4 linked regions of the Saccharomyces cerevisiae S288C genome follow. The gene in region 1 interacts genetically with each later gene. Each region holds a gene or a part of one and is shown on either strand. Other genes may lie near its edges.

Region 1 (8,264 bases):
TACTTTAACGGGTAGATATTTTGCGGAGAACAAAATCGGTGGTGTGTTCAGATGTTATAAACAGTTACCACTGGGCGAAGTAGCACAACAACAGTATGATTCTATGATAACAAGTACAAAAAAAGGAATTTTTCCCAAGCTAAAAGATATCGTTAAGCTTTCTTCATTGTTGAACTCGAGTTTTTATACAGGTCGACCTTTTAGACATGAAATGATTGGAGCTAAACAATATTTGACAGTAACATCCCCTCTTCGTCGTTTTCCAGACTTGATAAATCATCTACAAATTCACCGTCATTTGCAGAAAAAGCCTCTATGTTTTAATCAAACACAAATCGACAGTTTGATCTGGCCAATTCAATCTCGAGCGGATATTTTAAAAAGGGCTAGCCGTAATTCGTCGACGTACTGGACACTGAATTATTTAAAAAAGCTAACCAAACTAGAGCCAGAAAGGACTTTCGATGTAATGGTAACATCAGTACCGCAGAACGGATTTACTGGATGTGTTTTTCCAGACTTATCGTTCGCTAGAGGAACATTAAAATTGCATCCAAGTTCTATGCATTATCCGATGATTGGAGATATCGTGAAGAATTGTAAAATTTCAAAAATTGACTGTTTAGAAGGAATGTTAGAGTTGGAAAAGCTATAAAAAGGGACTCTTTTTCCAAATATAAAATTCAATAGACCATGCATAATTTTCTTCTTGTAAATATATACATACATAAAATATGAAATCGAGATAGTGTATTGATTTCTTTGTATCAAAAATTGCATAAATTACTATTAACATATGTGCCTATGCAGGAAAAAATAATACTATATACATATATAAGTCAGGAATATCAAGAAGAAAGGAAATCCAGTTGCCTTATTTTCGCTGTTTCAGTCGATGGTTCTCTTCTCCACTATAAACCCAGGGTTTGACTTTCTCAACTCTCGTTGCTGCGATGGTGTTAATTCATGTTCTGTTACTTCTACTTTGACTAACTCTTTTACTTTAGCTAGGGAGCCAGCTATGGCCGGGTTTACTTTTTTGTAGACTATGGACCCTCTTTTACCTAAACCCAAACTTTTGACAATGCTCTTCGTTGTGTGTGGCACACCGATAAGCGACCTACTCAACGTGACTTTGTAAAACACCATTCCTGATATCTGCTTTCAACGTGTTTTAGCTGGTCCATCAATATTGATTCCATCACCTAACTTTTGGGATGATATACTTTATCCTTAATATCTAGAAAAGCTCTTCGAGAGATATTTCGTGCAGAAAGACCATTCATTTTTCAAAAAATGGTTGCACTAAAGCAAGAGGAAAGGAAAAGTAGTGTTGCAAGAAGATGAGATTGTAGTCTCCTTATAGCTTCTTAATTGTAGTTAAGAGTATTAAGTAAATATGACACAAGACAAAGAAGTCAAAGTGGTTGCCCCAGATGTTGCGCCCGACCAAGAAGTAGAAATTAATAAATCTGTAAAAGATGCAAAACATCAAACCAATGATGATTCGTTACTTCAACATAAAAAGAAGGGCAAGAAAGGTAAAAAATCGAAGCCCATAGTGACCCCAGAACATATCGCTAAGGTTCGTGCCGAAAGGGAAGTTATGAGAAAGGCTAAAAGAGATGCAATGTTGGCTCAAGGTGTTGATCCGGACTGCCCGCCAGAGCTGCATTTTATCAGAAGACCTTTCCTATCTCTACATGAGGCAGAGCCAGTAACTGGATTTAGATTCAAGCTAATGACTTATAATTGCTTGGCGCAAGCTCTAATCCGCAGAAAGCTGTTCCCGGATAGTGGTGACGCTTTAAAATGGTACAGGCGTTCTAAAGTTCTCTTAAACGAGTTTAAATATTATAATTCCGATGTCATTTGTTTGCAAGAGATTGATCATATTCAGTTTCAAAGCTTTTGGAAAGATGAATTCAGTAAATTGGGATACGATGGACAATATTATAGAAATGCTACAAAAAACCATGGTGTCGCGATAATGTGGAGGAGAGAATTATTTCACCAGGTTGACAAAATGCTAATCGACTATGATAAAGAAAGTTCAGAAAGCATTTCCACTAGAACAACGACAAACAACGTGGGATTAGTCTTAGCCTTGAAGTTTTCTGAGAAAGTACTGTCGAATTTGGGTAAAAAATCGTCTAAAAAATGCGGTATCTTGATCGGCACTACGCATCTATTTTGGCATCCATTTGGTACTTATGAACGAACAAGACAATGCTATATTGTTTTAAAAAAGATGAAGGAATTCATGCATCGTGTGAATGTTTTACAGAACGAAAATGATGGGGATTTATCTCATTGGTTTCCTTTTTTCTGTGGTGATTTTAATTCCCAGCCGTTCGACACACCATATTTATCTATGACATCCAAACCAGTGCACTATAGAAACAGGGCAAAGACCGTCATTGGGTGCAGCACTTCATATAAGTTTTCCAAGGTCCGTGATGGCGAAGAAGGTGCAGATGACGAAGAAGGCGGGAATATTGAAAAATATGGTAAAGATCAACCTGAGAGCCCCGTTCCTGAAAAATTTCATGCTAATGAAGAACAGTCTGAACTCGTAGATAAAATGGCACAACTCCATAACTCATTGGATATGAGGGCTATTTCACTATACTCTGTTGGGTATAAGAATGTTCATCCAGAAAATGCAGGTCTTGATAATGATAGAGGTGAGCCTGAAATTTCAAATTGGGCAAACACTTGGCGTGGTTTATTAGACTATCTATTTTATGTAAAGAAATGGGACCCACAAAGTAATTGTCAGGAAGTGGAAACCCTTGGCGATTTTGAAAAAGAAAATAAAGTTAAATGCAGAGGTTTTTTGAGAATGCCGCCCGGTAATGAAATGACAAAGCATGGACAACCACATGTTGGAGAATATGCAAGTGATCATTTGTCTATGGTGTGTGATTTAGAGTTACAACTATAGATTACTGTCGTGCATAAATATCTTGCTAATAGTTGTACAGTACAACGTTTAGCACGACAAAAGTTCTTAATAATAAATATTACATCAAATACCCTACCCTACCAAATATTGTATGTAACGTTATAGATATGAAGGATTTCAATCGTCTTTATATATTGAATTTCGGCTTTTTATCAAAGGGCTTCTTTTCTTCTTTTATCGAAATGTTATCATCGTTAAATTTTTTGTAGAACATATTCCAGATTTTAACATATTTATTTAGCCTTTGGATGATTGGATCTTCTGACTTCTCAGATTCTAAAATTTTATTTCGTATATAATATAGTTTCCTTAAAGAATCGTCCTCACGCATCATTCTGTCTTTTTTAGTATTAGGTGTCTCATTTTCGTCAAAAGTGGTTTCAATTTGCAACAGGTAATCATGTAAAACTTTGTAATGTTTTTGTAATAGTGGGTTTTTGAAATCGGATGGGTTATATCCATCCCTCAAGTTAAAGTATCCCATTATACTTTGAGTTACTTTTTTCATGTTATCATAATCTAGTTTATGTTCAGAGCCATCATCATAGGATAGTAAACTAGGAAATTTTCGAATTTCGTCTAGGAATGGAACCCTGTAGAGATAAAATCCTTCGTTGTAGTCCTTCACGCTTGAGGGTGATAACGTATATAGTGAAGGATGTGAATTTGATTTAAGCTTCCCCCATAATATTGCAATTTTATCTTTTTTTCTCAAAATTTTTAATAAAGAAGCCAAGGTTCTTATCGAACCTTCATATTTTGCTTCATCTGGTACGATAAACGAACTTTTGTCTATGTTATTGAAATAGTGTATCGATTTGCTCGATGAACGGAACCCAATAATCTTCAAAAACGCATCTTTTTGAGTATAAGCCTCCATTACTATCTGATCTTGACTATCTGATAGATTGATATCGAGGTCACCATAAGGATAAACCTTGACAGTTTTACCAGTAACGTCTTCTCCTGTTATAGGATTTAAAAATTTTCTTTTTGAATATGCTTCTTGTCTGATATCTTCATGCTCATAAACAAGTTTATACCTGACTCCAGCTTTTTCATGGGTATACATAGTGTAACCCTTGACTCCGACTATAAAATTTGTTTTCTCATCCAAGATTAATGGACATTGAAACATTATCCTCTTTACCTCCTTTTTCCTTAGGATTCTGGACTTGATGTATTTAGCATCTATAGGCTTTGTACTTGGACCATCAAATTCAGAATCCAAACCAGTATTCTCATTTGTATGTGAACCCAACTGCAGTATGTCCGAATAAAACTCGTTGTCAAATGGTTTATCGGCATAGCCAATAAAAAAAGTTGCAAAATTCACTTTGTTATCAAATAAATCAATTGTAAGCCTTCTCAATCTTGCCCGTTCATCGATATCTTGCGCCTCTTGTGGTTTATCAATGTCAGTGAATAAGAACACTCTCTTGTTGCTTAATTGCTTTTGACCCGGAATCTCTTCCAAAAAAGTGTCAAGCATGAATGTGAATAATACAGATAAGCGCACTTGCTTTTCACTCCCAGTTTGTTGAAACATAAAATAGTCGTATAGGCTTATTCTCCCCGATGATAAATCTTCTAAAAGATCGTTCAATTTCTTCATAAATGTAGCATTTATATCCCTTAATGGAAAAAGTTCATAGATACCTTCCTTGGCATCCTCTCTGTTACAGTAATAAAAATAGCAACCAATAGCTGTCCCAGGTCTTGTTATGACCAATTGTGACATTAGCTCATCTAGTGATTCCAGAATTTCCAACAATGGTGATTTATACTCTAGATCAGAGGACTCTTTAAACATTGTCTCTGATAGTTCAATGCAAAACAAAATTCCTTCATGGATATCAAACTTCCTATAACCTGTTTCATCCACTTGATCGTTAAGTTCTCCACTATTGCCAAATGCATTAGTGACTGAGCGCATAATATTCCCGTTTTAAAATCAGGCTTAGAGTCACTTAACAAATCATAGCTTTACTGTTGAAAACTAGAACAGTAATACAGAGAATGTCATTTGGTAGCTACCTTAAAGCAATCCCTAATACATGAAATTGAGAATCTTCAAAAATTAAGGTAATCAAAAGTAAAAAAATATCTCCCGGGGGCGAGTCGAACGCCCGATCTCAAGATTTCGTAGTGGTAAATTACAGTCTTGCGCCTTAAACCAACTTGGCTACCGAGAGTCAATTAACTGATAACCATTCAATTATGAGTCCGTCTAATATCATGCTTATTCACAATTTTAATATAAGCAACCTTGCAGAAGTGACCTGTTGTCAAAACGGAATATCAACTTGATTGAGGGGATGATAATTATCCTATATATTCTATAAATATGGATTATACTGAATATTGGGTGAATAATTTGATAATTGTTGGGATTGCATTGTTGATCAAGGCTATATAATATTATGTACACAGAATATATTAGAAGTTCTCCTCGAGGATAGAAATCTCAAAATGGAATCTATATTTCTACATAATAAAATTACGATTATTCCTCATTCCGTTTATATGTTTCATTATCCTATTACATTATCAATCCTTGCACTTCAGCTTCCATTATACTTGATAACTATTTCTCAATCCTTATTTTATGTTTTTCCACCGCATATTATAATATGCCAGTAATATTTATTCTTATTAATGGTCGTTAATTTCACACCAGGCGTGTTTATAACTGAGTAATCACTTTAAATTTGAGCATCCGGTTTTGCACCGTTAATAGTATCATTGTTAATTAGTAGGCAGGTTGTAGTATATTCTAAGAATAAAACAGGTGCCCTTAATCTGTACAAGAGAAGAGTATGAAATATGAATTACATTGGGCATATCGACTATACGCAATATATCAGTAGCTTCGACGATTTAGGTAGGTATAAGGGTTTCCTATACCTGTATACACAAATTTCAAACTTATGGCCGAGCCAGATAGTCCTTTAGCTATGCCTTCCATTACTTCTTGGAAAGCTTGTTGCATTTCCCGTCATATTATGTACGGTTACAACTTTTTTGTTGATTTCCATGCCCGAAGGGAGCTTAGCATAGCCGCTATTACATAATCTTATCATCTTCATCAAAAATGAACTTCTAAAATCATCCCACCACTCTATTGCTCTTCATATATGCGTTGTATGTTTATGTGCTTTGTTCTTATTACTGCTTAACTGTGACTGGGCCCATTATTCATTGTTCATATGCAGGAAAAAAAAAGCATGCTTGAAAATTTTGATCTCTTGATGGATGGTATCGAGGCTATCAAAGAGATATAGATCCAGAGTACAGTTTAGTATATCCGTGATGGATGAAAATATTTATCTTTCGCTATCTCAGATAAATAAAGACATCAGAAAGGAAAACAAGTCCGTAAGGAATCGACTTCAGAGTATTCTTTTAGACAATAAATTTTTGCAAGATCGAGTTATCCCTATATTTCCCCATTATCCACTGATACCCAATGAAAGATGTGGGCTATGGTACTGTAATCCATCAAGTTTCAAACAGACCAGTTACTTTAAGAGCACAGACGGGCATGTCAACCAATGGGACTTTAGCACCCGAAGATTGAACTTTCATTTGTTAGAGACCATTCGAGATAATAAAGGTATTATAATTGTCGATAGTACTAGAAGAGGTAAAAAAATCCCAGATGCTTTGAGTAAGACTGTCCCCATATGGTGTGCTGTATTAAATACGTTAATGCTTCAGGAAACAGAAAAAAATGTTGCCATCGATAAGGTACTGTATCTTCCACCTGAGACAGTTCCCAAATCAGAATATGACATGATTAAGCGAAAAATACCCGAACTAGTTGCTAAACTACAAAAATTGAATATTATAGATTCTAAGAAATTGAACGAACTGTTTATGGGTAAGTTATTGCGGCCCATATGGGTTCACCCTGGTTCTTCACTTCTAGACCATTCTGTTGATTACTTCACGGGTGAAGTACAGGAGTATGAAGCCTGGGAAACACCTGAAGACCAAAACATAATACCCATTATTTTGTGCACGGTAAGCTATCAAGCACAAGATGGTATGGATAAAAGATACGGCTTCACTTATGTGCAGGGTGCAGCCGACGATCACGAGCTCTGGTCTTTTGGTTTGGATTCAAATATGTTTTGGGCCCATATAGAATACCTAGGCGACGCAAGTTATTCAGACGACCAGTTACATGATTACATCATGGATTTGGCTGCTGCAAAGCTGAGAAATCAGTGTTATATACAAGATAAAGGAAGCTTGGATGAAGTCTTTGGAAACATTGATAAAATTACGAATGAGATATCTCTAGGAAAAGTGAGTTCAGGCTTAACCATCAATAAGAATTTGAAACAGAAATTGAAGTCAGAATATGGTAAAGTTATAATTTTCAGTAATTCGGTGACTGTTGCTGAAGATACAGACGATGAAGAAGAAAGTGGGACAGATCCGTTTATTTCAATATACAAGTTGCAAAGCGGAGACAAGAAAAGTTCAAAAGCTTTACGATCCACATTCCCTAGAATCCATGGAGAAATTCAATCGTTGTTTACAAATCGAGATGAAAAAATAAAGCCAATGCTAATATGCTGCAATACAGGTACTGATATGTCAATCGGTGTCATCTTAAGTATCCTTTGTACCAAATATACTGAAGAATGGATGCTTACGTCGGAGTTACCGGACATCAGTAAGCTTATTGTAAGAAAACACTTGACAAAATTGATTTCCCACTTGAAAGGACGCAACGTTAACCCTTCAAGAGCAACACTGAACAGCGTCAATAGCTTTTTAATGTAGTGAGTTAGGCAATACTGAGATGTTTACTCGCAATGTCACTGTATATTTTAATATCAAATAACGTCAGTTTTTATTAGAAAAAGAGCGGGTTACCGTTTATCCTGAACAGAAAAGGTTCATTGAAAAAGAGCCCTTCAGACATTGGCTAATGAAAAGAATATGTAAAATCAAGAACAAATTAACGAAGCTCTCCTTCGTTAACAGTCCACTACCTAAATTTATGATTAATGTGGATAAATAGACTGGTTAAACATCCATCCTACAGTGTTCTGAGGTTTTACACGAAGAGGCTCTGCACTGTATCAGTGAAATCGCTGCGTGAATTTGGTGTACTGCCGAATAGCACAATATGTCATTCTGTCTATCCCCGAAGAACGTATGTAATGGGTAGGGCTGTCATAAATGATATTTTAATCAAAAAATCCTATTCAACTCACACGGTATGTGCAATTGATCGATCAAAAGATGAAAATAATGGGAGCGCTTATGACAAATTCGA
Region 2 (8,297 bases), on another chromosome or scaffold:
CAGGTCTAGAAGGAACTCCTTTATTCCTTCAACTCAAATCCCTCATTCAACGACGAAGACTAGGAAAAACTCGCATTCCGTAATTTCTTCTAGAAGATCATCTTTTAACATGATGCATTCAAGAAGATCATCCTTCAACTCTCACGCTCCTACGGAGCCTATTTCTAGAAGAGCTTCCTTGGTAGTTAGCCCGTATATGTCACCCAGAAGGTTATCTACATCGCAATCCGTTCATTATCATCCACAGCACCAATACTATCTTAACCCCATAGCGTCTCCCAACTGCAAGACAGACCACGCAAATGACAAAATCACGCACACGAGGACTTTCTTAGATATGCAAAAATTCGCTAATAAACACCCGTGGTCTAGAGAAGATGATGAAGTGCTACTTAACAATACGAAGGACAAACAAAACCATTTGTCGCCGCTAGAAATTTCTATTGTTCTGCCTAATAATAGATCCGAGTTGGAAATCCAACAAAGAATGGATTATTTAAAGAGAAAAGGACGTGTAAGTGGTTTTCATACAAATGAAGGATGCAAAGACGAGGAGGAGGAGGATGACATTGACCCACTGCACAAGGAGAATGGCATTAACACGCCATCGCAGCAATCGCAAAATTACGGTATGTTAGAGGCTAAACATGATAATCCAAAGTCTAGTGAGCTTTCTTCTATGACCAGCGCAAATGACATACGCAATGAGCAAGATGAACTTCCAGGTATAAATTCTATCTTTAAAAATATATTTTAAGCTAAGAGACGAATTTAGTTTGTTTTGACTATTCGTTTAATGAGTACAAATTAATCGCACCCACACATGTACACACACACATATATATCTTTATATATACACATAAAATTTATTCGTAGGAGAATTCTGTAATACTATTGACTACAAGGGTTCTTATTGCTATTAATAATGTTACATGTATATGCTTATATCCAATATATACCCATCGCCGCTTATTCTTCGTCATCCTCTATTAGAGTTATTTTTCTTCTTTTTCTGACTCTCTCCTTCCTTATGTGGCTTTCTATATCGTTTTCATCCTGCTCTTGTCCTTTTCTCTTCCCATCCTCATCATCATCACTGTCTTCTTCATATGTGTCTTCCTCCTCATCATTTTCTTCTGATATTTGCTCATCCTCAATGTCATCATCAAGGGTAAAGTCTTCGTCTTCGTCTTCATCTTCTTTGGCGTTTTCACCTACATATAATTCAGTATCTACATCGTTTTCTACTTCATCCTGCTCTAAACTTGATATTCCAGTATCGTTTCTCCTAGCTGCATGATTTCCAAGTGGTGTTTCGGAGTTTTTAATAGTGAAGCAGAGCTCCCAATGAGTTTCTGTACTAAATTTTGATCTTGGTATCCCTTTGCGATCATGGATGCTTTCCAGCACTCTTTTTTCCGCTTGATAGATTAATCTATCATTATTTGTGTTCTTATAATCACACATATACTCTGTTAAGGAGGAAACAGTGTCTTCAAAAAAATCAGTAGCAGGTACTTCCGGTTCTATGATATTGTTTACATGAAGCTTGGATGTTTTGTGCTCACTACTTCTTCTTCTTCTTCTTCTGCGTTTATTATGTGCTCTACTGTTGTTATAGTTTTCTATATGTGTGTTATTCGAAATTACCGGAGCCATAGTTTCATTTGTAAGAGCTTCGTCCGCTAATGCGGTGGGTTCTAAGTTCATCATCCCATTTATACCAAATGACGGCCCTAATATAATAGGTTCCCACAATAGTTTGTCATATTTGACGCGAGGATAGTTTTTTGAGCTCCAAGTTTTGTAAATATTTTCAATCCTGTTCCAAGAATCGATTTTAATAATATAGTTGAAATCATCCAAACTGGATAATGAGCGTGTTTTATGGCGATACAAAACTTGAAGTTGTTCCAATCCAAACACAACGTCTGTTGGTATCATTCCTGTTAGTTTAGCGATATCGTTTAGGCTAACCTGCTGAAAAGTATCTTCATTTTTATTATTTGATCGACGTCTAGCACTGTCTCTTAATTTTAATAGCACTTCAGCACATTTTATCTTCCAAAACGTTCTGTAAGTCAATAATCCTAAATCCGACAATGGTTTTTCAGGAGTTCCAAATTTTGACTCCTTTCTGGATAATAAATATGAAAATTCCATCAAAAACTGACCATATCCTTTCCTCTGGTATATGGGTAGAGTTAAAATACAACTTAGGTTATAGTCATTGGAGTTGAATTTTTCCTTGGAGAAATAGCCTACGAAATGGAATTTGGCTGCGTTTTGATAGGGATGGTTCTCTGTATCCTCTCTCTCCGTTAGAATATAGAATATAAACGGTTCAACATCGTAATACAAAGTCTTAGAATTGATAAAACATTTTGCCAACAGGCAAAGATTTTGACAATACAAGACATTCTCCCGCCCATCAATTTCCCAAACAGACAGCTTACCGTCGCGATAAATTTCATTTCCGGGGGGCTTAAAAGTTAGACACTTTAGTTGGTGTCTATAAAAAGTATATCGAGAAGTCATATATTTTAGGCAGAACTCACATATAAAAACCATTTTATTTTGGTTGATGTGTTCCGGAAAAGGAGATGTATACCAAGGTTTAATTTCATAATTTCGAAGAACAATGTATTCTATCTGGGAAAACCACACTTTATTTTTGATTCTTGGTACTTTCCCTTTCCTTTTTTTCCTATCTTCGTTTTCTTGATCGGTTTCATTATGATTGCAAAGTGATACGTTACCATTAATGTACGTTGCAGACTTAGAGTTTTCTAAAAATGTAAGAAACTTTATTTTATCTTCCCAGGTGGGTAAAGTTCTTTTTGTACTGAAATCTTTCATTTTTTTTATTGTTCCGCCGTATGGTACGTACCATTGCCAAGAATCGTTATCCCTGAATGGCGTATTATCAGAAGAATATGGGTACTCCATGTTTTCGGTTGCTAGATCCCATGTTTGCTTTAACCTGTTAACTCTTCTTTGAAACCCGATTAGAGGACCGGATGATGTTATATTTTTGTTAACTAAAGGTGCTATGACTGAAGATTTAGATATTAGTCTTTCAAAATTGAAAAATTTGATAGAATCATACTTAATTCTAACCTTCAACTCCTCGCTGACTTCAATATTAGGTTCAATAATGGGGAAACTTACTGCTCCCATCTTATTGTCCCTATTAACGATATTTTGAGAAGAATTTTCTGACGCAAGTTTGGACTGCTGGGAAATCAACCCTTTTTTTATTTTATTAAGGCCTTTATCAGACCGAACACTTCCTCTTATTCGATGTGATATACTGGCATCGGAGTTGAATAGTCGTCTTGTAGTTCTATGTCCATTTGTATCGCTTCTGACAAATTGAGAATGTATCAGATCATCGATCTCTAAGTTTTTCAATAATGCATTTTTTTTGGGTTTTGGCGATTCGTCGTTTGCTGTTAATGACATTATCTGCAAATTATACGGAGACTAATTAATGAAGAAGGAAGAAGAGAGAGGGCGGTATGAATAACACCTATGAGAAAAGAATAGCAATGCTTTTCCTTTTTTACCTTTTATATTCGTTCTTTCTTCTTTTGCCTCTTTTAATATGCTTTGTTTCTGTGCTATTTTCCCGACTCTTTATTTCAAACAATGAAGCCCCCAATTAATCAAGAACCACCAAAATAGCATGTCAGTTGAACACTCAACGACTAAAAAAACGAATAATTTCTTGTTCAATTGGCCTGAACGTTTGACTATGAAACTTTCTGCTCTTCTCTGATCATTGTAAACAAAGAAATGTCAATAAATTATTGTTACCCGACTTTCTATATACTACAAATACCGCCAATGATGCAGTGAGCAAGATATCAATTAATGCAAAAACAATATCGAGTAAGGTAGAAACATCTCTGTGATTAAACATCGTACATATAAATACCATATATAAAAGTATGTGGGAAAAGAACGTTCAAAAAAAAAAAGTAAGTAGTAGGTTAAAAATAAAATCTCAAAAGAGGGAAAAAAAAAAAAGAGGGATAATTTTGGCTTGATTACATTGCGTTACTTAAAGTAGCCTCATCATTCATTCATTATCATCGTTTCATCGACATTAGGTGACGTTTCTCAGTAAAAATTAACTTCATCATGATCATTAATTTCATATTCATATTCGGTTATTTTTTTTTTTTTTTATATTTTTTTTCAATGGTGTTTTTGATGGTTTTTATTATATATATATATTTTTTTATCTTTTATCTTGTGTAAGCACCCCTCATTACTTGTATCGTGCGATATACAAATACCAAACAAACTCTATAATCATAGAATAATGGAAGTATATATTACCATAGATTCTTCTTGTTTTGGTTTTGTAAATCCAGTCCGCTTAAAGAACGATTCAAGCCCTGTTCCAAGCCATCATCTAGTCCAGAGTGACTCAAAGATTTATAGATCAAGTCGGCACTATTCAAATTGTGTGCGGACAACATGGACTCATCGTGATAAGACTGATATGAGAAATTAGAATGTACTGAGCCATTTGTGTGCTGTGGAAGCAGTTGGGACTGTGAGTTTGCTGAAGATGGGCCGTTAAGGTTGTACAACTGCTGGGAAGACAATGAAGCATTTTGGTATGCCACTGGTACCCGTTGTTGAGTTTGGGACTGTGCTGGTGGTTGCGCTTGGGATAGGGTTTGGCTGTTGATTGGGATTTGTGAATTTGGAGGTGAAATTTGAGAATTTCTCAGTAAGGGATTAACGGAATTGATTTGATAATGGTTGGCAGAATAACCGGATGGAATTCTTGAGGATGGTGTTAAAGTAGCTTGTTGTCTTAAAAAAGATTGTTGTTGTTGCGCAGCTGACTGAACATTTTGCTGTGTTTGTGGTTGAGGTTGTTGCGGTTGGTCTGCGGAATTGTATTGAGAACTATGGTGTATGTTCATTTTAGGTGAGGTTAGTGTTGGTTGCATGGAGAATTGTCCCTGTGAAGAAATTTTTGGTGTTGAGCTGGCGCTATTGTTATTAATGATGACATTGTTACCGTTACCGTTATTACTGTTAATAGTATTGCTGTTGGAAGAATTGTTAACGGCCTGATTGCTAATACTATTCGCTGCAGCTGCTGCATGGGCCTGTAACAAACTTGTATAAGATTGTGACCTATTCATGGAGCCGCCAGTGGAGTTTGGCTGCAAAGGATGAGCAGATGTCATTTGACCTTGTTGTTGCAAATGAGATTGTAAATTAGCATGATCCAGAATCTTTCTTCTGATAATAATAAATCTTGGATCATATACTTCTACTAGCCCTAAGTACGAGCACAAAACATTGATAATTCTCTTGTGGGAAGCGGATATACCCATGGGATAAGCCAACTCGTAATAATACTTTTCTCTATCCTTAAATAACAATAATTGGGAATAAATTTCCAAAGTGTCAGGGTCATTGAAGTCCAGTTGTTGGGGTGGGAGAGGCAAAGTGGAAGTTGATGGTAAAGGCGCATAAAATCTCTCAGTGGACATCTGGGCTTGATTATTAACGTTTGTTTGGTACAACGATGAAGAAGTATGTTGGGCAGAAAGTGAAGGTTGGTTCAGAATGATGTTACCACTATTGTTGTTATTAGAACTGTTATTGTTAATGGTATTATTCATTGGACTGTTCATCATGCTATTAGCATTAATGCCGTTCATTAGAGTCGAGAATAATTGATTGTTAGAAGTATTATTGTTTCCGCTTCCACTCATTTTAGATAAAGAATCCAAAGAAAGATTAGATGACGATCTGTGTTGTTCTTCTAATTGTCCTCTTTTCTCTCTCTTCTCCCTCTCGATTCTTTCTCTTTCAGCTTGGGGAAGCATTTTTTTATATTCCACTTTCAATTTCCTCCCGCTGATTTCCTTTCCATTCAAAGAAGTTATCACTTGAGTAGTTTCTTCAGGAGTGGTGAAATTCGCAAAGGCTAGTCCTCTGAAAATACCGTTATCAAAGTGGTAATTGAAGGCATAAGGAAGGGGAAGATCCATTTCTTCAATAATGTCTAACAATTGCTCTTTTTTAATAGCAAACGGAATGTTTTTAATAACAATAGCATTTGGGATAACATCATCGTCCAAAGCACCATTGGTGGGGGCATTATTCAAATTTGTAGAAGAAACGTTTTGTTCGGCATTTTTTGCAGAGTTCTCACCAGTTTCCGTTTGCACACCGTTTTCTTTGTCAATTGCATCTCTAGTTTCGATAGATTGCTGATTTGTTTCCTGGTCATTAGTCTCCGTATTTATATTATTATCCTGAGCATCATTGATGGCTGCAGGAGGAGCATTCTCAAAAGAACTGGTCTCCATTTCTTATTGTTGTTGAACACGCTTTCCCTAGTCTGTAGCCTGCCTCTATGAGTACTATATCACACTTCTTCTTGCGCTAATCTCCAAAGACCTGCTGGTAATCTCAGCTGAAAGGCTGCCTTTAATTGTTATTCTTTTCCAGGAAAAAATCGCAAAGTTGCAGCATCCGTGTTTCGTGACATCATTGAAGGTTACCCTAATCTATTACCTCGGATTAACTTGAATTAATAAGGACACACAGGTATAGGGAAGGTAAAGTTGAAGTAATGATAAGAAGTGGGCAGCACCGAAGCAGTTTATCTGAACTAACTTCTGTACGACTCGAGAATATAGTAAGAACACCATCATTAACCTGAAAGTTAAAAATGTCAGACCCTGTAGAGTTATTGAAAAGAGTATGTAGTAGGGAAATATATCAAAGGAACAAAATGAAAGCTATGTGATTCCGTAATTTACGAAGGCAAATTACTAACATTGAAATACGGGAATTGATATTTCCCGTTGTGTTAAGGCTGAGAAGAAGGGTGTTCCTTCATCGGGTTTCATGAAATTGTTTAGCGGTTCTGATTCATACAAGTTTGAGGAGGCTGCTGATCTTTGTGTCCAAGCAGCCACCATTTACCGTCTAAGAAAAGAGTTAAACTTGGCAGGAGACTCGTTTTTGAAAGCTGCTGACTATCAGAAAAAGGCTGGTAATGAAGACGAAGCAGGAAATACCTACGTAGAGGCTTATAAATGCTTTAAAAGCGGTGGAAACTCTGTGAACGCCGTGGATTCATTAGAAAATGCTATTCAAATTTTTACTCATAGGGGGCAGTTCCGGAGAGGTGCTAATTTCAAGTTTGAGCTTGGAGAAATTCTAGAAAATGATTTGCATGACTATGCAAAAGCTATAGATTGCTATGAGCTCGCTGGTGAGTGGTATGCCCAAGACCAGTCGGTAGCATTATCGAATAAGTGTTTTATCAAATGCGCAGATCTAAAGGCTCTTGACGGTCAATATATTGAAGCAAGTGATATATATTCGAAGTTGATCAAGAGCAGCATGGGCAATAGATTGAGCCAATGGAGTTTGAAGGATTACTTCCTAAAAAAAGGGCTTTGTCAGCTAGCTGCTACTGATGCAGTCGCTGCTGCAAGAACTTTACAAGAGGGTCAAAGTGAAGATCCGAATTTTGCGGATTCAAGGGAGTCAAATTTCTTGAAAAGTTTAATCGATGCTGTTAATGAAGGTGATAGCGAGCAGCTAAGCGAACACTGTAAGGAGTTTGACAATTTTATGAGACTAGATAAATGGAAAATTACCATTTTGAATAAAATTAAGGAGTCCATCCAGCAACAAGAAGATGATTTGTTATGAACGGCATATACTTACGCGCACATACATATATACATATATATTATAAATGTAACACTTGTTTTACCCGAAACGGCGAAGTAATTGTGTACCGCCGTGCACCTTTTCCTCGAGATAAACATATAGCGATGACTTAGAGAACAAAGTAGTATTAGTATCATATACTTCCAACGTTAATCAAGCGCAATAAACCTTTGTTCGTGTGTTTCAAAGTTATTGCAAGAGCGAAGTTGAAGCCATCTTTTCACGAGAAGTTAGCTGTGGTTCGAGTCTGTCGCACGCCGTGTAATGTAAGGATCTTCCCTTAGCTTTTCTGATCCGGAGCCCTTGAGGGATATTACGCATCGCGTATCTTCATACGATTACTGTACTTTGCTGACTTGCATTCTTGATATTGGGCTATAGTTGGCACTTCGCTCGTTTCTTTTCTTTCGTTATATAACGTAACCTTTTTTTTTTTAACTTCCTTATCCTGCCCCTTATCACTCTGAACCCCATAGATAAACAAAGACAGAACTCTGTCCTACTTTATCTATTACTAAACTCAACACATTACAGCCCAATATTATAAATACGTTCTTCTTCGTTAC
Region 3 (5,080 bases), on another chromosome or scaffold:
ATTGAAGAGGGTAAAGGTATCTTTAATAATATTCAGAATTTCCTGACTTTTCAATTGTCTACTTCTGTTGCCGCACTATCATTAGTTGCACTATCTACAGCGTTTAAACTACCCAATCCACTGAACGCAATGCAAATTCTTTGGATAAATATTTTAATGGATGGGCCACCAGCTCAATCCTTAGGTGTGGAACCTGTTGATCATGAAGTTATGAAAAAACCTCCAAGAAAACGTACCGATAAAATTTTGACCCATGATGTAATGAAACGTTTACTAACCACCGCGGCCTGTATCATCGTTGGGACAGTTTACATTTTTGTTAAAGAGATGGCCGAAGATGGTAAAGTAACTGCTAGAGATACTACTATGACATTTACTTGTTTTGTTTTTTTTGATATGTTTAATGCTTTGGCCTGCAGACATAACACAAAGTCAATCTTCGAAATCGGCTTTTTCACGAACAAAATGTTCAACTACGCCGTTGGACTGTCTCTGTTAGGTCAAATGTGCGCTATATATATACCATTTTTCCAAAGTATCTTTAAAACTGAGAAACTTGGTATCTCTGATATACTATTGTTATTGCTCATCAGCAGTAGCGTTTTCATCGTTGATGAATTGAGAAAATTGTGGACGAGGAAAAAGAATGAAGAAGACTCAACGTATTTCTCAAATGTTTGATATGTCACATTTTGTGCTTTTATCGTTTTTCCTTCCTTCCCTTTATCTTTCATGAGGACGCCCAACCCTATTGAGGTAAATGTACTAATTAATGGGAACATATGTAGATGTATATATGTACATATATTTACAACGGATACTAAGATAAACATGTATGGGCGACTTTTCGTATATACAAAGCAATATAAAATTTTATTCTTTCCTTCTTTTTCCGGACTAGATATAAAATCTCCGTAATCAGTGGTTATGATTTTCAAAAGTTAATCACAGTTTTATTTAAAACTGTATACAATTATTTGCAGCCGCCTTTCGCAATCTGTTCATAACAGCTAATCCTTCTCCTTCCTCATTTATACCTTCGACAAATATTAGGTCTACTTTATCATTTTCATCCACTTTTCTTAAAGCTGCAAACAAGTTAGTCTGTATTTCTTCACCAGATTGGCCAAGTCTTTCGATGATGAAAGTTTTCGAAGAAAAATCGGGTTCATTAAAGATCTTAGATTGTAAGTCGGAATCACGTAATTTTAGGGAAGTTAAAATCGCAATTTTTTTTATATTACTGTTGGCTTTTAATTCCGTTTCGATTAACCTCTTTAATCTTTCCATCCTATCAACGCCCTTAAGAATGCCATCGCCTTCGCAATGAGGAACTAGTAAAACAACTTTAGCTGAAGGGGAATAGTGTCTATACTTCATACCAGGCGTTCTTACCTTTTCGCCCTTTTCAACTGTTTTCTTATTCTCAACTTTACAAAGAGACCAAGCTTCACCACCCAATTTAACAATTTCTTCATATGTAAAACCGCCAGGTCGCAGTAGCGTAGGAGGATTACATAACCCATCAACAACAGTACTTTCTACACCAACCTTGCACGCTCCGCCATCAAGAATTATGGGAATTTTATCCTTTAGATCATGATAAACATGAGACGCTAAAGTAGGAGATGGCCTAGTAGACGCATTCGCTGAAGGAGCAGCTATTGGTGTATCGCTCAGGGCAATCAGTGCTCTAGCCACTGGATTAGCGGGTATGCGTACCGCAAACGTAGGCTGATCTGCGGTCGTTAACTTTGATAATGCACTATGCTCTGAAGATGGAACTGGCAAAAGAATTGTTAATGGGCCAGGCCAAAGGCTTGAAATTAATGGGCGATAGATTGAGGGTATGTTATCAAACAAGGATGTACCTGATAGATGCGGTTGATTAAAGACCTTTCTGTTAAGTTGATCAATGGATGAAACATGTGTAATCAAAGGATTGTCACTAGGCCTATTTTTGGCCCTGTATATACTAAGCACTGAATTATCATTTAAAGCAGAACCTCCAAGACCATAAACAGTTTCGGTTGGAAAAGCCACAGTCTCATCTGTATCTCTTATTATCCTCGCCGCTTCAACTAGCGCTGCTTCCGTTTCAGGATCTGTTATCGTTGGTAAGGAACCATCTATATGCGCATCAGGGGAGAAAATGATTGATAGCGGGTTAACTTTTAAGATCTTGGTATCAAACAGTGCTTTCGATGTCATTGCCAAAAAATGTCGTCCAAGGTACATACAATTCTAAAAATGGAATAATAAACAGGACTACCATTAAAAATGGAAACAGGTTTAGTGGTAAGTTAACAGCGCAGAAGAAAAAAAAAATTTGAGGAGAAGAATAAAGCTCTCGCTTCAAATATTATCAGCTTCAATAGGTATGTGCGATGAGGTTACTATCTTCTGGGTGAAAAAATAGTAAGGCTAGCGTAGATAATGATTTGAAATTTCTCAAAAAAATATTTTTGATACATATAATAATTTTGAAGCCTGAATTTTTCAACGAAATAGCCTTGTTGGCGCAATCGGTAGCGCGTATGACTCTTAATCATAAGGTTAGGGGTTCGAGCCCCCTACAGGGCTATCTTTTTTAGGCTCAAATCAAAAAAATGTCTAATATATTAAATTCTACTTCCTTTTTATATCTCAAAGAAGAAGGCATTTAACCCCATTCATATGGTTTACACTTGTGTTGAGATTTGTTGCTTGCGCTTCTTTTATCCTTTTAAACCGCTTATTTATCCTTTCCAACGATAAGGCTCAAATGACATCAATGTTCTCTTTTGTGTCACAAGAAATATAAATAACAACAATAAAACATTAGGTATTTAGTTGGAAGTCAAACTTGAAACTCTTCCCGGTTATGTTGTATTGGCAAGGAAAGAGCTGAATTGGTTGAGTGATGGGAGCTGGCACTCTTTTAAATGGATTAGAAAAGGAAAACTTTCCAAATAACATCCATTCAGATTTGCCTGCGTATCCTAACATGGATTCTCAAGAAGATGGCAATACTAGTAAGGAAAGTAAAAGAAATAGTCCAGTAAAACAGAAGTCCCAAAAAGATGAAGAAAAGTCATCTAAAATGGGGACTGCAAGCAACATATTCCATGAAAATAAAGATATACACGAAAGATCTGAACACACGGACGATTTTAATGATGGCTTAAAACTGGCTCCGGACTCTAGTCCAAGCTTGAAAGAGTGTCAATTTAAAAATTGGGAAAGTTTTTGGTGTAATACAGAAGGTTACAAAACTAAACACATGCAGCCCTTTCATTTTACAAGCGGATTAGAAGAAATAAAGGAACCGGTCATGGAATTGAATATTTCCACTTCACCATACAAGGGACAGAGGCCAAATTCAGCTCCAACCGAGTATTCAGCTGCCACAACAGCGTTTACCAAAACACAATTAGAGGTGAGTTTTCTAAAAACCAACTTGCTTACATACATTAAAAAAGAGATTGACATTTGCTTGTCAAGTGTTCCATTTTTTGACGACGCAGTTCAAATGCAAAAGAAATTCTTGGAATACAGAGATATTGACTTGGATGAAGAATATGAGCTCAAAATTTTGGGGGAACTTTTGAATGATTTAAACTTCTTTCATATGCAAGAAAACTCTTTGCTAAATAGAGAGCTAGCAGTTCGTAGATTCTCCAATCAACCTGAAAGTCAAAATTTACCTTCCATTAGGGATTTTAGAAATCCACTTTTGCCAATAGATAACCGCCCTTCTCCCCCATTAGGATTGAAAAGAAACGGAAAGTCTTTCGAGGAAACCTATGATTTCACGTCCAATACATCAAATTTTTGGGGAGAAAAAGCAGAACTACAAAACTCCATAACTGGTGGAACACCCTATTTTTTCCACCCTAACAATATACATCAAACAAAACCTTTTATGTCATTTGAAAATCAAAATGAACTTCTATTCCAGAGAAAAAATTCAGATTACAAGCAGCATTTTAACTCTGGAAGAAATATACATAATGGAGTGGAATCGAAATCTTACAGAGGTGTGGGGTTAAACGATAGTTATCAAAAGGGTTATGCAGCAATGACAAAGTCGTTTGGAAATATCGATTTAAATAGAATGCCCAGAAGAAGTAATGAAGAAATGTATAGCTGGTCACGTAATTGATCAATGAAAGTAAATAAAAAAAACTACTAATCATATATACATGTCTTGCATACGCACGTTTGTTTATATTATTTCGAGAAATGTTTTTTTGAAAGTTCTTCATTTTTTCTTCTTTTGGATGCTGCAATCATTTCTTGTTGACGTCTTCTTTTGGCCTTATCCATCTTAGGCACAGTAGTAATCTGCTTTCTTTCTTTATGCGCTTTACCGTTTTTTATACTTTCTTTCTCCTTTCTGGTCATTTTAGCCATTTTATCCATCCACTCAGATACTTCACAACCACTTTGTTTCATGACATTTATTATTGGTTTAATAGCTACTGAGTCTTGTTTAGTATAGAATGTGATAGCTTTACCTGACCGCCCACCTCTACCTGTTCTACCAATTCTGTGAACATAAGCCTGAGACGATCCTGGAACGTCATAATTGATGACCAGATTGACACCTTTGAAGTCAATACCACGAGCTAAAACGTCGGTACAGATCAAACACCATAATTCACCAGTTTTAAATCGTTCAATAATCCTGTCTCTTTGTAAGGCTGTTCTTTCTGCATGAATCACATCTACGTTAATCCTATCGTACATCAATTCATGATATAACGCTTTTGCTCTTGTAATAGACTCTAAAAATATTATGATCGGTGGCTTGAACTCACCCTCTTGAACGAGTTGTCTAATAGCAATTAGTTTACCCTCTTCATTACCACAAAATATTAATTTTTGTTCAATATTTGTATTTGCTGCTTCCTTGTGGCCAATAATAACTCTAACAGGATCCATCATTATACTTTGTGCAATCTCTTCTACATTGGATGGAATGGTCGCAGAAAACATCGCTTTACGCAACGATGGCTCTCTACAGGCGCTCAAAATATCGTCACTCTGTTCAACGAATGTTTTGTCAAACAATTTATCAGCTTCATCAAATATCAAA
Region 4 (9,252 bases), on another chromosome or scaffold:
AGATCTTTAATGAACCCGATTTTTCTTCGAAAACTTTCATCATCGAAAGACTTGGCCAATCTGGTGAAGAAATACAGACTAACTTGTTTGCAGCTTTAAGAAAAGTGGATGAAAATGATAAAGTAGACCTAATATTTGTCGAAGGTATAAATGAGGAAGGAGAAGGATTAGCTGTTATGAACAGATTGCGAAAGGCGGCTGCAAATAATTGTATACAGTTTTAAATAAAACTGTGATTAACTTTTGAAAATCATAACCACTGATTACGGAGATTTTATATCTAGTCCGGAAAAAGAAGGAAAGAATAAAATTTTATATTGCTTTGTATATACGAAAAGTCGCCCATACATGTTTATCTTAGTATCCGTTGTAAATATATGTACATATATACATCTACATATGTTCCCATTAATTAGTACATTTACCTCAATAGGGTTGGGCGTCCTCATGAAAGATAAAGGGAAGGAAGGAAAAACGATAAAAGCACAAAATGTGACATATCAAACATTTGAGAAATACGTTGAGTCTTCTTCATTCTTTTTCCTCGTCCACAATTTTCTCAATTCATCAACGATGAAAACGCTACTGCTGATGAGCAATAACAATAGTATATCAGAGATACCAAGTTTCTCAGTTTTAAAGATACTTTGGAAAAATGGTATATATATAGCGCACATTTGACCTAACAGAGACAGTCCAACGGCGTAGTTGAACATTTTGTTCGTGAAAAAGCCGATTTCGAAGATTGACTTTGTGTTATGTCTGCAGGCCAAAGCATTAAACATATCAAAAAAAACAAAACAAGTAAATGTCATAGTAGTATCTCTAGCAGTTACTTTACCATCTTCGGCCATCTCTTTAACAAAAATGTAAACTGTCCCAACGATGATACAGGCCGCGGTGGTTAGTAAACGTTTCATTACATCATGGGTCAAAATTTTATCGGTACGTTTTCTTGGAGGTTTTTTCATAACTTCATGATCAACAGGTTCCACACCTAAGGATTGAGCTGGTGGCCCATCCATTAAAATATTTATCCAAAGAATTTGCATTGCGTTCAGTGGATTGGGTAGTTTAAACGCTGTAGATAGTGCAACTAATGATAGTGCGGCAACAGAAGTAGACAATTGAAAAGTCAGGAAATTCTGAATATTATTAAAGATACCTTTACCCTCTTCAATGGCAGTTAAAATAGTACTGAAGTCATCATCAGTTAAGACCATATCTGAGGCTTCTTTGGCTACATCTGTACCAATTCTACCCATAGAAACACCAATATCTGAAAGTTTCAACGCAGGAGCGTCGTTAACACCATCACCAGTCATTGCTACCACATCACCCCTCTTTCTTAATGCACGAACAATGTTTAACTTATGCTCAGGCGTAGCACGAGCAAAAATATTAACGTGGTCGATGACATTGGCCAGTTGATCATCTGACATTTCATCTAATTTATCACCGGATAAAACGGAAAGCTTTGGATCAATAACTGGAATACCAATTTGTTTTGCAATGTTTACTGCGGTATTCTCAGAATCACCAGTGATCATAATAATATGGACACCACCTTGTAGTAATTGTTCGATGGCAAATTTAACGTTCGGTCTTGGTGGGTCATTCATACCGATTAAACCAGTAAAGGTTAAATCTTTGATTAGGTCTTCGGTTAGAGGAGTTGATGAATCAGACAAAGTTAGTTTAGCAAATCCAAAGACACGCAAACCTTCAGATGCCATAGAATTTGCGCACTCATTTATCGTAGCTTTTTGGGCTTCAGTCAACTTTTCAGTTTTTTTACCCTTTGATTTCAAATAACTTGTGGAGTACTCAAGAATTCTTTCAAATGCACCTTTAACATAAACTGTACACTTATTGTCGACAGGGTTGAGAATCTTGGTTGCCATTAATTTTCTTTTCGAGTTAAATGGAAGTTCCTGAACTTTTTGAACGGTGTTTCTGATATCAGGCATTTCAAAGTTTGCCAATTGCTCTAAAAGAGCTACATCAGTAGGATTTCCCAGAAATATGGCATGTTCTTGAGAGAAAGATGCATTATTACAGAGATTACCGATAGTTAGAGTTTCCCTAACGTCTTCAGTCAAATAGTTTTTCAAATTTCCATTAGAATTTTTAGTCTTCTTATTTTTGTCTAATGAGAGGACGTTTAGCTTATTGGACATACTGTCCAAGCACCAAAGTTTAGATACGGTCATGTGGTTTGAGGTTAGTGTACCTGTTTTGTCGGAGCAGATAACGTTGACAGAGCCTAAAGTTTCGACACTTGGTAACCTTCTCACGATGGCTTTACGCTTGGCCATTCTCAGAACACCCAATGCCAAAGTAACAGTGACAATAATTGGTAACCCTTCTGGAATAGCAGCAACCGCTAAGGATACCGATATTTGGAACATTTCTAACCAAGATCTACCTTGTATGATACCAACTAAACAAATCATACCAATAACTATGAAGCTAACCAGTGACAAGTCCTTTCCCAATTTGTCCATTGTTAACTGCAATGGAGTCTTCGGTTTTTCAATATTATTCATCATTTCAAAAACGGCACCAAAGGATGTGTTTGTACCTGTTCCTACGACGATACCCTTACCATGACCTTCCTTGACTAATGTACCCATATAAGCTATACAAGATCTCTCAGAAATCGGTACAATTGAATTAGGCTGATCGTTAAAGGAAGATTTTTCGATCGTTTGTGAGGTTTTATGTACCGGTTCATTTTCACCAGTTAAATTACTTTCATCGATGGATAAATCGATTGCTTCAATAATTCTAATGTCTGCGGGGATTCTGTCACCTATTCTGAAGTGCACTAAATCACCAGGAACCAAGGTGGAAGCCAGTACATGACTCTCTTGACCACATCTCATTAAGTGACATTCAGCAGGAACCAATTTATTCAACGCTTCTAGAGATTTTTCAGACCTATATTCTTGGACAAAACCGACAGTGACAACTATGAAAATGGCCAGTGTGATACTAACAGCATCATCAATGTTACCCATAAAAAGAGAGACCACTGCGGATCCTATTAAAAGTAGAATCATTCGATCCTCAATGAAATTTGACAAGAACTTCTTGAAAAGACTTTCATCATCTTCTACGGTTATTTCATTGGGGCCATAAAGTGATCTCCTATTGTTGGCCTCGTTAGATGATCGTAAACCACCGTTTTTGTCAGTGTCCAGTTTTTCTAGAGCTTCGTCCACGGATAAAGTACAATACTCTAAAGAAGGGCTTGGTTTCGAAAGGGCCTCTGCTGTGGCATCTAGTATTTCTCTCTCACGGTTTGAGTCCTCGTCAAGAAGACTCGCATTAAATGGATTGTCACTCATAATTATCTTATCTTTTACTTACACTTAAGCTTACGTCTGTGCTGGCCTTGCTTCGTCTTGTCTTGCCCAGTCGTAAGGATATTATTATAGTTACTAGTATTGTTATAAATGGGAATGGAAAGAACGGGGCGAGCAAACACTATTATGATGGTGTAGAAAAAGAGGTTTTTCTATTAAGTGCTTGAAGGAAGGGCTATAGTGTACGATGGCCTAGGGAACAAGATCTCGATATAACGATAGGTAGGGTCCACACTGTTAACAAAAAAAGTACTTCTTTAAATAGAGAATCTTGTCTTGATGTAACAAAATGAAAAAAAAAAAAAATGCAACTAGAATGTAGAATACAAAAGTTTAACGATCGGCTTTGCTGTTAAGTGGTTATCTAGGGATGAGCTGAACGTGCAATTGATACCAACCGATCCTTGCTAGGAACGCAACTCTTTTCACCCACCTTCCACCACTACGATCGTGAAAGAATATTTGCTAAGAAAATCGCCAAAACGAGGCGAAGTCGCCAGGGTGCGCGGGCACGCAGGGTAAGAGCCGCAAGGCCTGGTTCGGTAAGTATTAAGCTGTGGACGAAATAGCAGTAGCCATGGCGATGTAATTTATTAGACGGCGGCTTGATAAAAGAGGACTGATAATCAGTGTATTCACAGAATGGTCGTAATTAACGGGGTCAAATATGCCTGTGAAACGTGTATCAGGGGTCACAGGGCGGCGCAGTGTACTCACACTGATGGTCCGCTACAGATGATCAGACGCAAGGGAAGACCATCGACCACATGTGGCCATTGTAAAGAGCTGAGAAGAACCAAGAACTTCAACCCATCCGGTGGGTGCATGTGTGCCTCTGCACGACGGCCAGCTGTTGGCAGCAAGGAAGATGAAACACGATGTCGTTGTGATGAGGGTGAACCTTGTAAATGTCATACCAAGAGGAAAAGCAGCCGGAAATCAAAGGGAGGGTCATGCCACAGAAGGGCAAATGATGAAGCAGCGCATGTCAATGGTCTCGGTATTGCAGATCTGGACGTTCTTTTGGGCCTAAATGGTCGCTCGTCGGATGTAGACATGACAACCACATTGCCGAGTTTGAAGCCACCTCTGCAAAACGGAGAAATTAAGGCCGACAGCATTGACAATCTTGATTTGGCTTCCCTCGATCCGCTTGAGCAAAGCCCTAGTATATCTATGGAACCTGTTAGTATCAATGAAACAGGAAGCGCATATACAACTACGAACACAGCACTAAACGATATTGACATTCCATTCTCCATCAATGAGTTGAACGAGCTATACAAACAAGTATCTTCGCATAACTCACATTCACAATAATGCATCTGGACATCTATATAAATATACATATACATATATTGGCGGTTGTTTGTTCTCCCGGCAAGCTGGCAGTCGGGCCGAGATTCGGATAAATTTTTCCATTCGTATACATATACATAGATATATACAATTATAAAATTTGTCCAAGGCTGCACAGGATACGTAACCATCCTAAAGTTTTAGGTTTTTTAACTTTTTTTCTGTCTCTTCAATTGTCGAATTGCTTATTCTATCCTTTCTGGAGTTCGTATTTTCATCGTTCAAATATATAGATAACCTTTCATCACTCACTTCCAATATACTTTTCTGATCGTTACTTTGTAAGGACGTCAGCCGAATGATGTACTCCAGTAGTGTGATCGACGAATCCTTGTCCTCCAATTTATTTTCTTCTTCTTCTTCTTCCTTTCGTTCTTCTCCGTCTTTTCCTTCCTCTTCGTCCTCCTCTTCATCTTCCTCTTCATCTTCCTCTATCGCTTCATATCCGCTTACCGCATACCAAGTAATGTCATCGAGTAATCCCTTGTCTCCTTCACTGCTCTCATTTTCTTTGTCATCGCTCCGGTCAATCTTCAATACCAACACTGGAGAATCCTGTTCTTCTAATCGGAGAAGCTTACCGGAAACACTGAAAAACAGCTTCTTAATATGGTTCAGATCTATGGCAAGTTCCTGTGGTGTGTCTTCTTTGTCATCATCCTCATGATATCTACCGTCATTGAAGTCTTGTTCTATTTTCATAAAATAATCATACTTTCTGCCTGTAGAGTTCAATCTATATATCCTTGCTTTTGCACGTTTCATATCCTCTTTCCAAACAATTCCTGATTGCCCATTGTTTTCTGAAGTTAGGTTATAGAAAATAGAGAATAGTGTAACCTCAAATGTAGGCCCCACTTGAACTTTTAGAATCTCCTTGTCACCTGTTCCTTTCTCATTACTCTTCATTGCCTTTTCATACTTTCTATTGTTCTCGCTAACGAAATCGGAGGCTTTTAATAATAAACCAGGAGAAAGTTGATATGGGAGTGCGCTGTTCAAGTTGGCACCAGAAGTGGTTAAAGAAAGATTAATGAATGGAGTGATTTCTTCGATCCTCAATAGCAAGTCCTTTATATAGTTTTCTACCGCTTTAATAGCTTCATTCTGTGTTTTTGCGCTCCTGGAACCCTCAACTTTCTGCGTCATTTCGTTGATCTTCTCATCAAACCTATCAATCTCTTCTTTTAAATCCTTGGTTAACCTCAGAGTGATTTGCAAATTCGTGTTTCCCCTCGCCGCTACCAGCTTTATTAGGTCAATTGCACTGGATACAATAGCCATGCGGCTTTCCAGTTTAAATTTCAGTTGATCTATTCTTCTAGCATCATCCTTAGGAATCTGGACGACAAAGTTCGTTATTGTCTTTAGCGCATATGTGGATGCTATCGATATTCCGGATTTTATAGCAAATGTAACGGCTTGTGAACCTGCTTTGGCAAGAATTTCATCCATTCTCTTCAGATATTGGTGTTAGGTAATAGTTAAAGTTAATCCTTCTGAGAGTGTGAAACTGTATCAGATTTTTATTTCCCTGACAGCGTGAGATTTTCTTGCCATAATCTTTTTTGGCAGTTTCGGCTGGCACTTTACCACGATAAAACTGAAGATAATGAAAAATTTAAAAGCTAGCACAAGTATAATATGACATCGCTCAACTTTTTTTACCCTTAAGTTATACGATTATACTTTTTTGATTGAAATACATAGAGATATTTACCAATTTGGCCCCAATTTTCAATTGTTTATTACGTCTAAATATATATAACCATGCCCATCATTTAAAATAAATATGTAATGACCCCCCGACGATCGAATTCTACTTTTTGTTTTTGTTTTATAAGTACATGTATGTAAGAGATCAATGTGAAATATATTGAAATGCAAAACTGATATCATTGTAATGATGCTCGTTTTTTAGTAGATGATCATTTGTTTTTTCCAATGCGTCATGGTTCAAATGATTCCAAGTTGTCGCATCACCATATAACATTGCAGGGGCTCTCTTTAATTGTTTACCCTGAGCATTACAACGTTTACAATGGTATGTTTCGTGTGTTTCACATATCGTATTCTCATTTTTTTGAAACAACTGTCTTAAATTGTCAGAACTAAACAACCTTTCAACGTCTTCTTTCGCATCGACCACGCATGAACTCAAACTCATTTTCATAGATTGTCTTTGAAAGATTTTTTCCTCTATGGTACCAGTCGATATGAATCTGTAAATGAAACAATCCTTTTTTTGACCGTCTCTCCAAACACGTGCCAAAGCTTGTTGATCAGCAGCAGGATTCCAATCCGGATCCATCAAAATTAATCGATTTGCACCAATCAAATTGATACCACACCCACCTGCTTTAGAACTTAAGAGGAAGATGAACTCTTGGCCTTCAGGATCGTTGAACCTATCCACCAATTTTTGTCTTTTGTTAATTGACATTGTACCATCCAACCGTACAGCACTGTAGTGCTTATATCTACACATTTTTTCAATGAGGTCCAAGGTTTGGGTATAGTTGGAGATCAAAACAATCTTATCATCGGATTCGGTCTTTATCTTATGGAGAAATCTTTCCAAAATGGAAAATTTAGCTGAATATTTTGTTTGTACGTCCCTGGCTTTTGAACCCGGCATATTATAATCGTCAGGTAGTTCCAAATCATCTTCATCGTCAAATTCATCTTCAAAATTCAAGAGATTAGGGTGATTACATAGCTTCTTTAAAATACCAATAGCCCTCAGGGGCTGAGACCCACCAACACCTTTTACTACTTTTTTCACTTCTCTTGACTTAATTAATTTATTGTAGAGCTCGTTCTGCAACGGCTTCAAGTTTACGAAAATAACGTGCTCATACTTGCAAGGCAAATATTTGGCCAAAATATCGTTAGTACGACGGATAATAAATTTGGAGACAATGGTAGATAGCTTCTGTAATTGCGCCTCGCCCTTTGTGATTTCTTTATCAGTAGCATCAGCATCACGCCCTCGCAAAATTGGATTCTCAAAATTTTTCCTAAATTCTGCTCTGGAACCTAATAAGCCAGGATTCGAAAAACTCAGTAGAGCAAAATATTCGGAAAGATCGTTTTGAATGGGTGTACCAGATAATATAACTCTTCTAGGACAACTGATGCTATCCAAAGCTGTGAATGTTAAAGAGTCACCGTTTTTCAAACGGTGCCCTTCATCTGCCAGCATTAAACCCACATTGCAGTTTTTCAATTGATCAACATTTCGACGTAATGTTTCATACGATATGATTAAAACGGGCTTAACAATATTTCTTCCCTGTGCCTGAGCCCAGGCATGAATAGCTTGCGAAACTGTTGTATTACCACCACCCATTGAAGATTTTTTCCCATCAACCGCTAACGGAGTTAGAGTATTGGGACCCAACCATTTTATCAATTCATTAGCCCAGTTGTTGACTAAAGAAGATGGACAAACAATGATACATTTGTCGATAAGTCTTTTACCCTGCGGGCCCTGTCTTAATAATGTCCACATAAGTGCTATACACTGCAATGTCTTACCCAGCCCCATTTCATCGGCCATGATGCAGCCGTAGGCCCCTCTATTGTTTTGTTCAGTCTTTTGAGATTCAGTAAGTGCCTTCTCGTCGCTCTTTAAGGGATCTTCGCTTGAAGTGTTGAACGCCTCAGCTTCTAAGTAATCTTTCATGACAAGCCCTGTGACACAACGGTATAAGAATCTCACCCCTTCGACTTGATGGGGTCTTAAAATCTTGGCCAGTTTTGGATCAATAACCACAGGGACACTAGCAAATTTCTTCTTGTTTTCCGCAGAGTTTTCCGAATCACCGAGTAGCTCACGTAACGGTTTGTTTCTCACACCATTTGTCATCAAAGCTGGATGGCGTCCTATTCTTTGTGTGGGTCTTTCTTCCTGGCTATTCTTTTCCTTGTTAATATTATCCTTTTCCTGTGTGCTTTTGATCATTTTCTTTGATTCTTCTTCCTTGTTATCCATAGATGTGTCATGGACAATCATTTCACCGTCAACGGACGGGTCATAAAGCACTATGGCAAATTCGTCTGTAGGGTCATGTAGAGGTCGAGGTTCTGGAGTAATTTTTTTTTTCATTCCTAACGTTAATGGCAGACTGTGTCTTTGTACATATCCCTTGATTGGCACAGTGAAAGATCTTCTCAAAGTGTACTGGATATGACTCAGTCTTGTCGGATCCTTGGCCAACCTTTGAGCACTAAGAGCATCCTTCCGTCGTTTAGTCAACTGAGAAAAACTTATGTCTTGGCTGTTGTACTCTGCTTCGTCCGCATTTATATCCAAGCCGGAATAACATACAGTCGCTGATCTTTTCCTCAAGCTCCTTCCTCCTACGATATTATCAGACCCGGTGGCGATTCTACCAGCAGCGGGCGGGATGTGCGTGTTCTTGTACGGGACCCTGAACGGTTTCGTTAGTCGGTTCACCGAGTCTTGTACGTTAATAGGCCTAGGTACCAGTCTCGGCCGTTCACCGGCTCCTATTCC

The links.
Region 2: mutations in YKU70 (region 1) and PIN4 impair growth when combined (synthetic growth defect), as found in Saccharomyces cerevisiae (3 studies listed by BioGRID, with this or other methods).
Region 3: mutations in YKU70 (region 1) and HUR1 together harm fitness more than expected from each alone (negative genetic interaction), as found in Saccharomyces cerevisiae (4 studies listed by BioGRID).
Region 4: mutations in YKU70 (region 1) and PMR1 together harm fitness more than expected from each alone (negative genetic interaction), as found in Saccharomyces cerevisiae (2 studies listed by BioGRID).

Annotation. Positions count from the first base shown.
Region 1 is NC_001145.3:834,827-843,090, reverse strand, and holds YKU70 (ATP-dependent DNA helicase YKU70), read right to left. Parts: upstream 4,905-8,264; coding exon 3,096-4,904; downstream 1-3,095. Other genes in the region: DSS1 (exoribonuclease II), read left to right, coding at 1-655; mitochondrial 54S ribosomal protein uL30m MRPL33, read right to left, coding at 889-1,149; NGL2 (RNA exonuclease), read left to right, coding at 1,400-2,947; RIT1 (tRNA A64-2'-O-ribosylphosphate transferase), read left to right, coding at 6,224-7,765; AEP2 (Aep2p), read left to right, coding at 7,993-8,264. UniProt on the Saccharomyces cerevisiae protein: Single-stranded DNA-dependent ATP-dependent helicase. Involved in non-homologous end joining (NHEJ) DNA double strand break repair. DNA-binding is sequence-independent but has a high affinity to nicks in double-stranded DNA and to the ends of duplex DNA.
Region 2 is NC_001134.8:118,410-126,706, forward strand, and holds PIN4 (Pin4p), read right to left. Parts: upstream 6,351-8,297; coding exon 4,344-6,350; downstream 1-4,343. Other genes in the region: TOD6 (Tod6p), read left to right, coding at 1-757; SAS3 (histone acetyltransferase), read right to left, coding at 970-3,465; alpha-soluble NSF attachment protein SEC17, read left to right, coding at 6,716-6,745, 6,862-7,710. UniProt on the Saccharomyces cerevisiae protein: Involved in normal G2/M phase transition of the mitotic cell cycle. In association with RAD53, also involved in checkpoint control in response to DNA damage.
Region 3 is NC_001139.9:183,217-188,296, reverse strand, and holds HUR1 (Hur1p), read right to left. Parts: upstream 834-5,080; coding exon 501-833; downstream 1-500. Other genes in the region: Ca(2+)/Mn(2+)-transporting P-type ATPase PMR1, read left to right, coding at 1-681; SUA5 (threonylcarbamoyladenylate synthase), read right to left, coding at 958-2,238; SPO74 (Spo74p), read left to right, coding at 2,903-4,144; RNA-dependent ATPase ROK1, read right to left, coding at 4,213-5,080.
Region 4 is NC_001139.9:187,116-196,367, forward strand, and holds PMR1 (Ca(2+)/Mn(2+)-transporting P-type ATPase PMR1), read right to left. Parts: upstream 3,354-9,252; coding exon 501-3,353; downstream 1-500. Other genes in the region: SUA5 (threonylcarbamoyladenylate synthase), read left to right, coding at 1-224; HUR1 (Hur1p), read left to right, coding at 349-681; CUP2 (Cup2p), read left to right, coding at 4,014-4,691; YRB30 (Yrb30p), read right to left, coding at 4,863-6,185; DNA-dependent ATPase RAD54, read right to left, coding at 6,592-9,252. UniProt on the Saccharomyces cerevisiae protein: This magnesium-dependent enzyme catalyzes the hydrolysis of ATP coupled with the transport of calcium. Has a role in the secretory pathway.